Linked DNA regions of Neurospora crassa OR74A. The protein of the gene in region 1 interacts with the protein of each later gene in a biochemical or structural test. Links are inferred from orthologs where the notes say so. Each region holds a gene or a part of one and is shown in the gene's direction. Other genes may lie near its edges.

Region 1 (4,270 bases):
GATACGTCGACCAAGAGCTTTCCCTGATAAGACAGATCTCGCCCGGGTCGTCAGAGCGGACTCAAGCGATAGTGGCGATTGCGGTGGACACGATAGCGATTCCCTATATCGGGTACATGCTCTGGGACGAATACACGGGCCGCCCATTGGGACTAAGGCCGGTGACGCAAAAGAGCGGGTTGGTGCTGATGGATGTGTTTTTCATCGTGTTCAAGGCGGCCAGCACGGCGTTGGCATATGAGGTGTTGGTTTATCATAACAGTCAAGATCGCTTCACGGACCATTTCAGCCAGGCGCTGGCCGCGTTTCAGCTGCTTGGGCTTTTTTTCTGGTTGACCAACTTTACGGTCAATGTGTTTAGGCTGGTAGTAAAGCTGGGAGGCGGAGATGATTTGGAGACTCAGAGGGGAAGGTAATGACGGTTATAATGGGCGGTCAAGCCCCGAAGGATATTGAGAGGGAAAGAAAAACAAAGCGGGGGAGATGAATCACGTCGAACGTCTCCAACCACCCGCATGGGAGCATACTTACTTGCATTTTCTCGTACTTTGTCGATACCTCAGCACGGTTCTGCCTCTGTGTTCTTTTGGGTGGGGTTTTTGGATTAGCAAATTAGCATACAGCGGTAACAAATAGTGTTTGATCAGTTGGTAATGTTGGTGATGTTGATATTAGCAAGGATGGTGATGATTATTACTCGATTGTATATGCATTATGAGACATGAAAAGGGGAACGGATAGCGAAAGATTTGACATGGTAAGGAGATATCATATTGCCTGCCGTGAGCTCCCAGCAGAAAAATACATGCAGTTTAATCGAATTCTGGCCACCAATGGTGTCCTTCTACAACATTAGCGGTTAAAGGGGCTGTAAACGGCTGACCTACCTCTACCTACAAGTAGCTACATCGTTGTCACTGTTCTGCTTTCTTGTATGTAAAATGCCCCGCCAGCTGTACATATGTGCCATCCCCATATTTTATTACTTCAGTTCCGGTTATTGTATTCATATTGAGAAGAAACATGGTATTATATCAATATAAGGTACATACCTTCATCAGATCTGTTAGCCGCCATTGTTAGATGTACCGGTAATGACGGAATGTACACTAGATGGTCGCCCGTCCCGCATCGCAGGGCATAGGTCGTCTCCATCCCCGCCACTTTCCCGTCCATGGTTGGTTCCCCACAATTTTGCGTGTTCGCGGTGGACGTTTACTGGCGGGGGGGCCACTGCTCTGGAGCCTCCATGCTGCTTGCTGTCAGTGTCAATCGATGCCTGCCACGCCGCTGCAGCCTGAAAACCGTCAACGAACGACGGCATCGCTCTATCATCCGGGCATCGACCACGGCAGCAGCAGCAGCAGCAGCAGCCTCGGGGGGCCAATCTGGAAACTGGAAACTCCACTCTTCAACTTGATTACCTACACTCAGAACAGAACATTGAAACCTGTCAGAACACCACCACAACAACAACAACAACAACAACAACAACCAGCCAAGGTACCTACCTCTACACCTCACCTCTAGGCTGCGACCTCACACCCGTCACTCCAAGGGAACAATCCTTTCTTCACCCGACCCGATATCCGATCAACCCGTCTGTCTGTCTGCTCACGGTCACGGTCCTTCTCCCAGCCGACACCGACGGACCTAAGGACGTGGTGACCCCCGCCATCCATCCGACCTTCCAGACCTGTGGCGCGCCTCATCGCTCAGGACGAGCTTCTACTTCTACGCCTCTGGCTGCCACCCAGTCCATTTACCCTTCGTCACCGGTCGCAGTCAACGCGCTTCCAACCTCAAGAACGACCGGTCGCCCAGATCAAACTCGTTCTTGCCCCCCCGACAGCCTCTGGACGAACACACGCGACCCAACACGACCTGGTCAGCTTGAGTTTTCTCACGGATTACGCCCCTCGTCCACCACCACTTGTCAGCCGGCATATTATTCCCAACATCGCATTCTTTCTTCGATTCCCGGCGCACGATCGCTCTTCAAACGAACATACACATAGACACAACAAACATGCCTCCGGCAACCATGATGATGGGGGCGTACGGGCAGCAGCCTTCTGGCAGTGATGGTATCGACAGCACGTATGTTTTCGCTCTCTTCGCTGCTGGCCCCTCTGCCTCCAAACAGCCGTACTGACCCTCTGCCAATCAGTTGGCCATACTTGCAGTCTAGTATCAACAAGATCATGACCAACCTCCAAGAAGGCCTCGACATGAGCAGTGTATGTTTCTTCCTCGCCCATCCGTCCACGTTACCCCCCGCTAACACACGCCGTTTGTAGTACATGGGAATCTACACGTTAGTTGGACGGATGCCCTATTTGTCTATACACTCCTTCAACATGGTACTAACTGCGGCATAGGGCGGTGCACAACTTCTGCACATCGCAGAAGGCCAACGGCGGTAGCAGCAGTCCGAGTAATCACCTTCCGGGAATCGGGGCCCAGAGAGGGGGTATGTTGTCTTTCCCTGCATTTGCCCGTTAAACAGATTGAGCAAGAGGACTAACATGCACCAGCCCATCTGCTTGGTGAGGACTTGTACAAGAAGCTGGCCAACTACCTGACAGACCACCTTAAGCACCTAGTCTCCGAAGCGGAGGCTCACAAGGACGAGGCCTTGTTAGCTTTTTACATTCGCGAATGGCAACGCTACACCAACGCCGCCAAGTATATCCACCATCTCTTCAAGTACCTGAATAGACACTGGGTTAAGCGCGAGATGGATGAAGGGAAAAAGAACATTTACGACGTCTACACGCTCCACCTTGTTCAGTGGCGTGACGTGTTGTTCCAGGCTGTCTCTAAGAAAGTCATGGACGCCGTTCTCAAGCTAGTGGAAAGGCAACGCCTCGGTGAAACCATCGAGTACACCCAGATCAAACAGGTGGTCGATAGCTTCGTCTCACTCGGTATGGACGAAGGCGACAACACCAAGACGACGCTGGAAGTGTATAGGTACCACTTTGAAAGGCCGTTCCTGGAGGCGACCAAAGTCTTCTACCAAAACGAAAGCAAACAGTTCGTGGCCGAGAATAGCGTTGTCGAGTACATGAAGAAGGCCGAGGCTCGCCTGGCTGAGGAGGAGGAGCGCGTACGCATGTATCTGCATCCAGATATTGCCCTACATCTGAAGAGGACTTGCAACCAGGCCCTCATCGCGGAGCACTCTACCCTGTTGCGTGAAGAATTCCAGGCCCTGCTGGACAACAACCGAGAGGACGACATGAGGCGGATGTACAGCCTCCTTTCTCGCATTCCCGACGGTCTGGAGCCTCTGCGGACTCGTTTCGAGGCCCATGTTCGCAAGGCTGGTTTGGCGGCTGTTGCCAAGGTGGCTGCAGACGCCGACAAGCTGGAGCCCAAGGTCTACGTCGACGCTCTGCTTGAGATCCACACTCAGTACCAGGGGTTAGTTGAGCGCGCTTTCAACAAGGAGCCTGACTTCACCAGATCTCTAGACAACGCGTGCAAGGAGTTTGTGAACCGGAACGAGGTCTGCAAATCGGGCTCCAACAAGTCACCGGAACTGCTGGCCAAGTACACGGACGTGCTTCTCCGCAAGAGCAGCACCGGAGTGGAGGAGGCGGAGCTCGAGAACACGCTGACGCAGATTATGACTGTGTTCAAGTACATCCAGGACAAGGACGTGTTTCAAAAGTTCTACTCACGCATGCTGGCGCGCCGCCTCGTACACAGCAACTCCAACTCGGACGATGCCGAGACCTCGATGATTTCCAAGCTCAAGGAGGCCTGCGGCTTCGAATACACCAACAAGTTGCAACGCATGTTCCAGGACATGCAGATCTCCAAGGATCTCAACACAGGCTTCAAGGAGCACGTCGCCTCCCTCAACATGGACGGCAAGCCGCTCGACTCGACGTACTCTATCCTCGGCACCGGTTTCTGGCCGCTCGTTCCGCCAAACACCAGCTTTGTTGCGCCCGCCGAGATCTCGGCCGACTGCGATCGGTTCACCCGCTTCTACAAGAACAAGCACGAAGGCCGCAAGCTCACTTGGCTGTGGCAGCTGTGCAAGGGCGACATCAAGGCGAATTATATGAAGGGCGCTAAGATGCCCTATATCTTTAGCGTGTCGGCGTACCAGATGGCCATCTTACTGCTTTTCAACGAGAAGGACCAGTACACGTTCGAGGAGCTTGCGAGCATCACTCAACTCAACGCGGACGTGCTTGAAGGCGCCCTAGGCATATTGGTCAAGGCCAAGGTTCTTACCGCGGAGGGTGGAGAA
Region 2 (3,905 bases), on another chromosome or scaffold:
GTCCGATGTTCCTCTTGCTTTTCGTCTATGGTGATCCCCTGAAACACCAACTCAACCTGAGTCAGCCTCCTATACAGAACCCTAACCCTTCTGTCACAAGTGAAACGCCCAACCATCTCACTACGGGAAGATCACCCTGCTGGCCAACAAGAAGTTCGTTCGCACACAAGAAGCCAGGAAGAAGACCGATTGCGGAGGAACTGACCATCAAGGTCCTTGCCTACTGTTACCCACCGGATCTTCTAACTGCCTGGCACGGACGTTTCCCATCCATGGTTTACGAGAAAATGGGAACCGCTGCCAGTATGCAAACGAATCGATCCATCTTCTTCCCTCATGTTGGGCAACACGTTACCTGTACCTACTCTTATTTACAGCAAAGTGTTGTGAATGACGGGTATATGATGCTTGGAAACAGATGCGAATGTGGATTCGATTTAAGGCATCGATCATTTGTTGTCTGGGCAGTCAACAGGACAACATGGAACTGCGTCACTTCTTTGTAGCTTCAGTGGACCGTGACGGGATCTAGTGTACTTGGGAAATTGTTAGTGCATCCTCTGAAACATCCGATAACTGCAATTCTGACCACCACCAATATGCCCTATCACCATGGGATGCTCATTTGTCAGTGGCAAAGGAACTGCACCGTCGTGTCGTCCCGTCTCCTTGCGGGTAGATTGTACATGATTGTCTGATGGGCCCCCCCTTTGCCAGAGAAAAAAAAAAAAAAAAAGGCCGTTCTGGGAGGTTCCGCCTGCTTTGTAAAGGTTGACGGGCAATTACAATACGATAATATGGAAGGGCGGGGATTACGGCCTCCCTCCTTTGACGATACTCCTGTCAGGTGTATTGGTCTTATGTAGAGGTAGGTACCTATGCCGAGAGCCCGAGACCGCCATTGTGCAGCGGTGTTGACCACCATTAACAAACGTAAGGCGAGACATGCAGTTGTTAGGATTCCTCAGTGCCTCGCTCAGCTCGGCTGCTGCACCACCATGGGAGAAGGAAGTTGGGCAATGACGGGACCATCACAAATGGTCTGGGTCGGTTGCTTCGTGTAGACTTAGGTTAAGTTGAGAGTGCGTGCTAGAGACTGCCCAACCTTCTATCCGGGTCCTCGCTCCGAGGAACCCAAGGGAAGCGTGACCCTGCCATGATTCCATCGCTCACATCGTAGTAGTGTAGTTCACACACCTTTTCCTGATCCGGTTGTGACGTTCGTACGCCCTTCCACTTTTCCTCCCGTCTGACCCTGCTTTCTCCTGACTCGCAACCTCTCTATTGTTCCAGATTGTCACCGCCCAGCCCTTGATTTCCAACCCACTTCCCAAAGACCACCATCGTGACAAACCGTGAACTTCTATCCCGACCGTCCGTGCTTCCATAGAGTCTGTTCCCATTGTTTGGTTATCGTTATCATTCCATCCCTCTTCAAAAGATCAATACCCACCCCGGCCTTCACCACCGACCGTCTAACAATCTTCCCCAAACACCCGCCCGCCTCTTGCCAACATCCCCTCAAACTACAAATACCACCATTTTCCTCTCGAGGCCCCCGATCTTGCGCACGAGAGGGATCTTCGTCAGCACTTTACGTGTCGATCCCTTGACGAGCCACCACAACATATCTACTTCACCACCACCGCCACCACCAACGAAGTAAAGTGGGCTTTTCCAGCGGCAGCCCATTCTTTCTTTTGTCAACCTCCGCCACCGGCACCTCGCCTTCACTTCCGTAACCACATTTTGCCATGTCGTACAGGACAACAGCGTCGGGCGCTACAACGCGCCTGATGAGTGAGATGAAGGCGCTACGAAAGGAGAAGTGGATTCACTTTGAAGATGTACGTCCTAGTACCGTTCGTTTTTTCTCCTTTGCCGGTCTGTCGTTCGCGGGCGCAGTACCGGCACGTCGATTCTAGTATCACTATACCTTCACTACGGAACCTAGACTGACCCTCACTTCTTTGGCGCAAACAGGACGATTCTGCGACCCTCAACATCCTCAAGTGGCGCTTCGGCCTCATGGTCATCAACCCCGACAGCGCCTTTAACGGGGGGTACTTCAGGGCCGAGATGGTATTTTCGGACGAATACCCCTACCAGCCGCCCAAGTTCCGCTTCCTGATCCCCATCACCCACCCCAATGTGTATCCGGACGGCCAGCTCTGCATCTCGATCCTGCACACACCCGGCGAGGACCTCATGTCTGGCGAGCAGGCTAGCGAGCGTTGGTCGCCGCTCCAGGGCGCCGAGAGTGTGCTGAGGTCGGTTCTGTTGCTGCTGGACGACCCTGAAATCAATAGCCCCGCCAACGTGGACGCGGGCGTCATGTACCGCGACCGCCGAGAGGATTACAACAAGAAGGCCCGGGAAACGGTGGAGAGATCAAAGAAGGATATCCCGCCAGGATTCGAGATGCCGGTCAGCTTTGAGGAAAAGCCGCCTCCGAAGGCCGAGAACGACGACGATTTTTGGGCCGAGTCGGATGAGGAGTTTGACTTTGGTGGTAGTGACACCGGGGATGACGACGAGATGGAGGACTTTGAGGACGGGGAGGAAGGGAGCGAGGATGACGACGACGATTCCAACTCCAAGCAATAGAAGGACTTGCTTGCTTACTTGCTTGTTGTTCCTTCAACAGCAGCAGCAACCGTTTTTATCGCCGTTGTCAAGCTGGGCTGGGTCTGGTTCGGGTCAGGATGGTGATGATATACCTTTCTCTTTCTTATTCTTGTTCTGCTTCAACCCGTCATATTTGCATAGCGTCGGGGACACTCGCGGTGTGTTTGGGCGTTTTCGTGGTCTCCCAAGCAGGCATATCTGGTGGGAATTTCATTGGTCGCTTTTTTTTTTTCTTTTTTTTTTTTACATACAGAGACACACCGTCACCCAAGTACTTGCCTATCCTCAGCCACAATGTTCTTGCACAGCGGAAGACATTGGCAAAGACGGGAAGCGGTCTGGCTTCATAGTAACATAGAATACATTTAGCGGAAACGTCTAGACTAGAGCTATAGACTCAACTTTCGTTTTCATGGAGCGATGAGCGGATGTAGCCCCGCGATGGCATCGCTGAGTTCAGAGAGCCGAATAGCCCGTCTGGAGCCCGTGCACGATGTCAGAGCCCAAGACCTCCGTCCCTTGACACATAACAGTGAAGAGGGGCCCGGGCCTTGGGGATGTCCCCTCAGCGACCGAGCAGTTGACCTCCGAAGCCCCTCCATCATCCCCTCATGAGATACCCATTTCTGTACAGCAAGTGAAATTTGTGAGCAGGCCGAAACCGATGAGAAACCGAAGGATACCTGCCCGACGCTCCAAGATCATCATGATGCATCTCTTCTTTGGCTTTTGTTGTCATCGTCCACGTTTACCCCGGCCCTCAGCCAAAACCTAACGGAGTGCCTCAATACCTTTCCCCCCATTCCCCGCAGTTTTTGCCATCAATCAAAAGCTGCCCCTGCCGCCTTGTTTGTGTACCTACTGTACATAGTACGTACAGGGCTCGGGTACCTCATCAAGCAGCTCTTGCATTTCATTGTCTGACAACGTAAAGGCAAACAACATCCCAATCTGGCTTCCCATCATCTCGTTCGCCCTGTCTTCGTCCAAACAGCAACAACAACAATAACAACAAAAAGTAAAAGCAGGGCTATCCTTCGCCCACTTCATCCTTTTCGCTCTTAAAGCCAGCAAAGTAGCTCGACAAACGCCAAGAAATAGTACATTCCAAACGTCTCCTGCCCCGGACCCCCGGTCCCGTCTCGCAGGCCCTGCCCATCAAGGTCACCATCGCTGCCCCGCCGATCCGATATCATTAAGTCAGAGTAGCCTACGCAAACCTCAACTTACCAACTCTCTCCTACTCGCTTCGGCAATCCGATCGCCATACAATTCGC

What was found.
Region 2: the proteins of cul-1 (region 1) and NCU01188 form a complex in vitro, tested with the Saccharomyces cerevisiae proteins (4 studies listed by BioGRID). The link is inferred for Neurospora crassa OR74A from reciprocal best matches to the Saccharomyces cerevisiae genes CDC53 and CDC34.

Annotation. Positions count from the first base shown.
Region 1 is NC_026504.1:5,761,818-5,766,087, reverse strand, and holds the start of cul-1 (Cullin 1), read left to right. Parts: upstream 1-1,397; 5' UTR 1,398-2,029; coding exon 2,030-2,100; intron 2,101-2,170; coding exon 2,171-2,240; intron 2,241-2,300; coding exon 2,301-2,317; intron 2,318-2,381; coding exon 2,382-2,473; intron 2,474-2,537; coding exon 2,538-4,270. Other genes in the region: NCU05203 (hypothetical protein), read left to right, coding at 1-416. UniProt on the Saccharomyces cerevisiae protein: Core component of multiple cullin-RING-based SCF (SKP1-CUL1-F-box) E3 ubiquitin-protein ligase complexes which mediate the ubiquitination and subsequent proteasomal degradation of target proteins.
Region 2 is NC_026505.1:3,175,037-3,178,941, forward strand, and holds NCU01188 (ubiquitin conjugating enzyme), read left to right. Parts: upstream 1-1,255; 5' UTR 1,256-1,754; coding exon 1,755-1,847; intron 1,848-1,983; coding exon 1,984-2,607; 3' UTR 2,608-3,214; downstream 3,215-3,905. UniProt on the Saccharomyces cerevisiae protein: Catalyzes the covalent attachment of ubiquitin to other proteins. Capable, in vitro, to ubiquitinate histone H2A. Mediates the initiation of DNA replication (transition of G1 to S phase in cell cycle).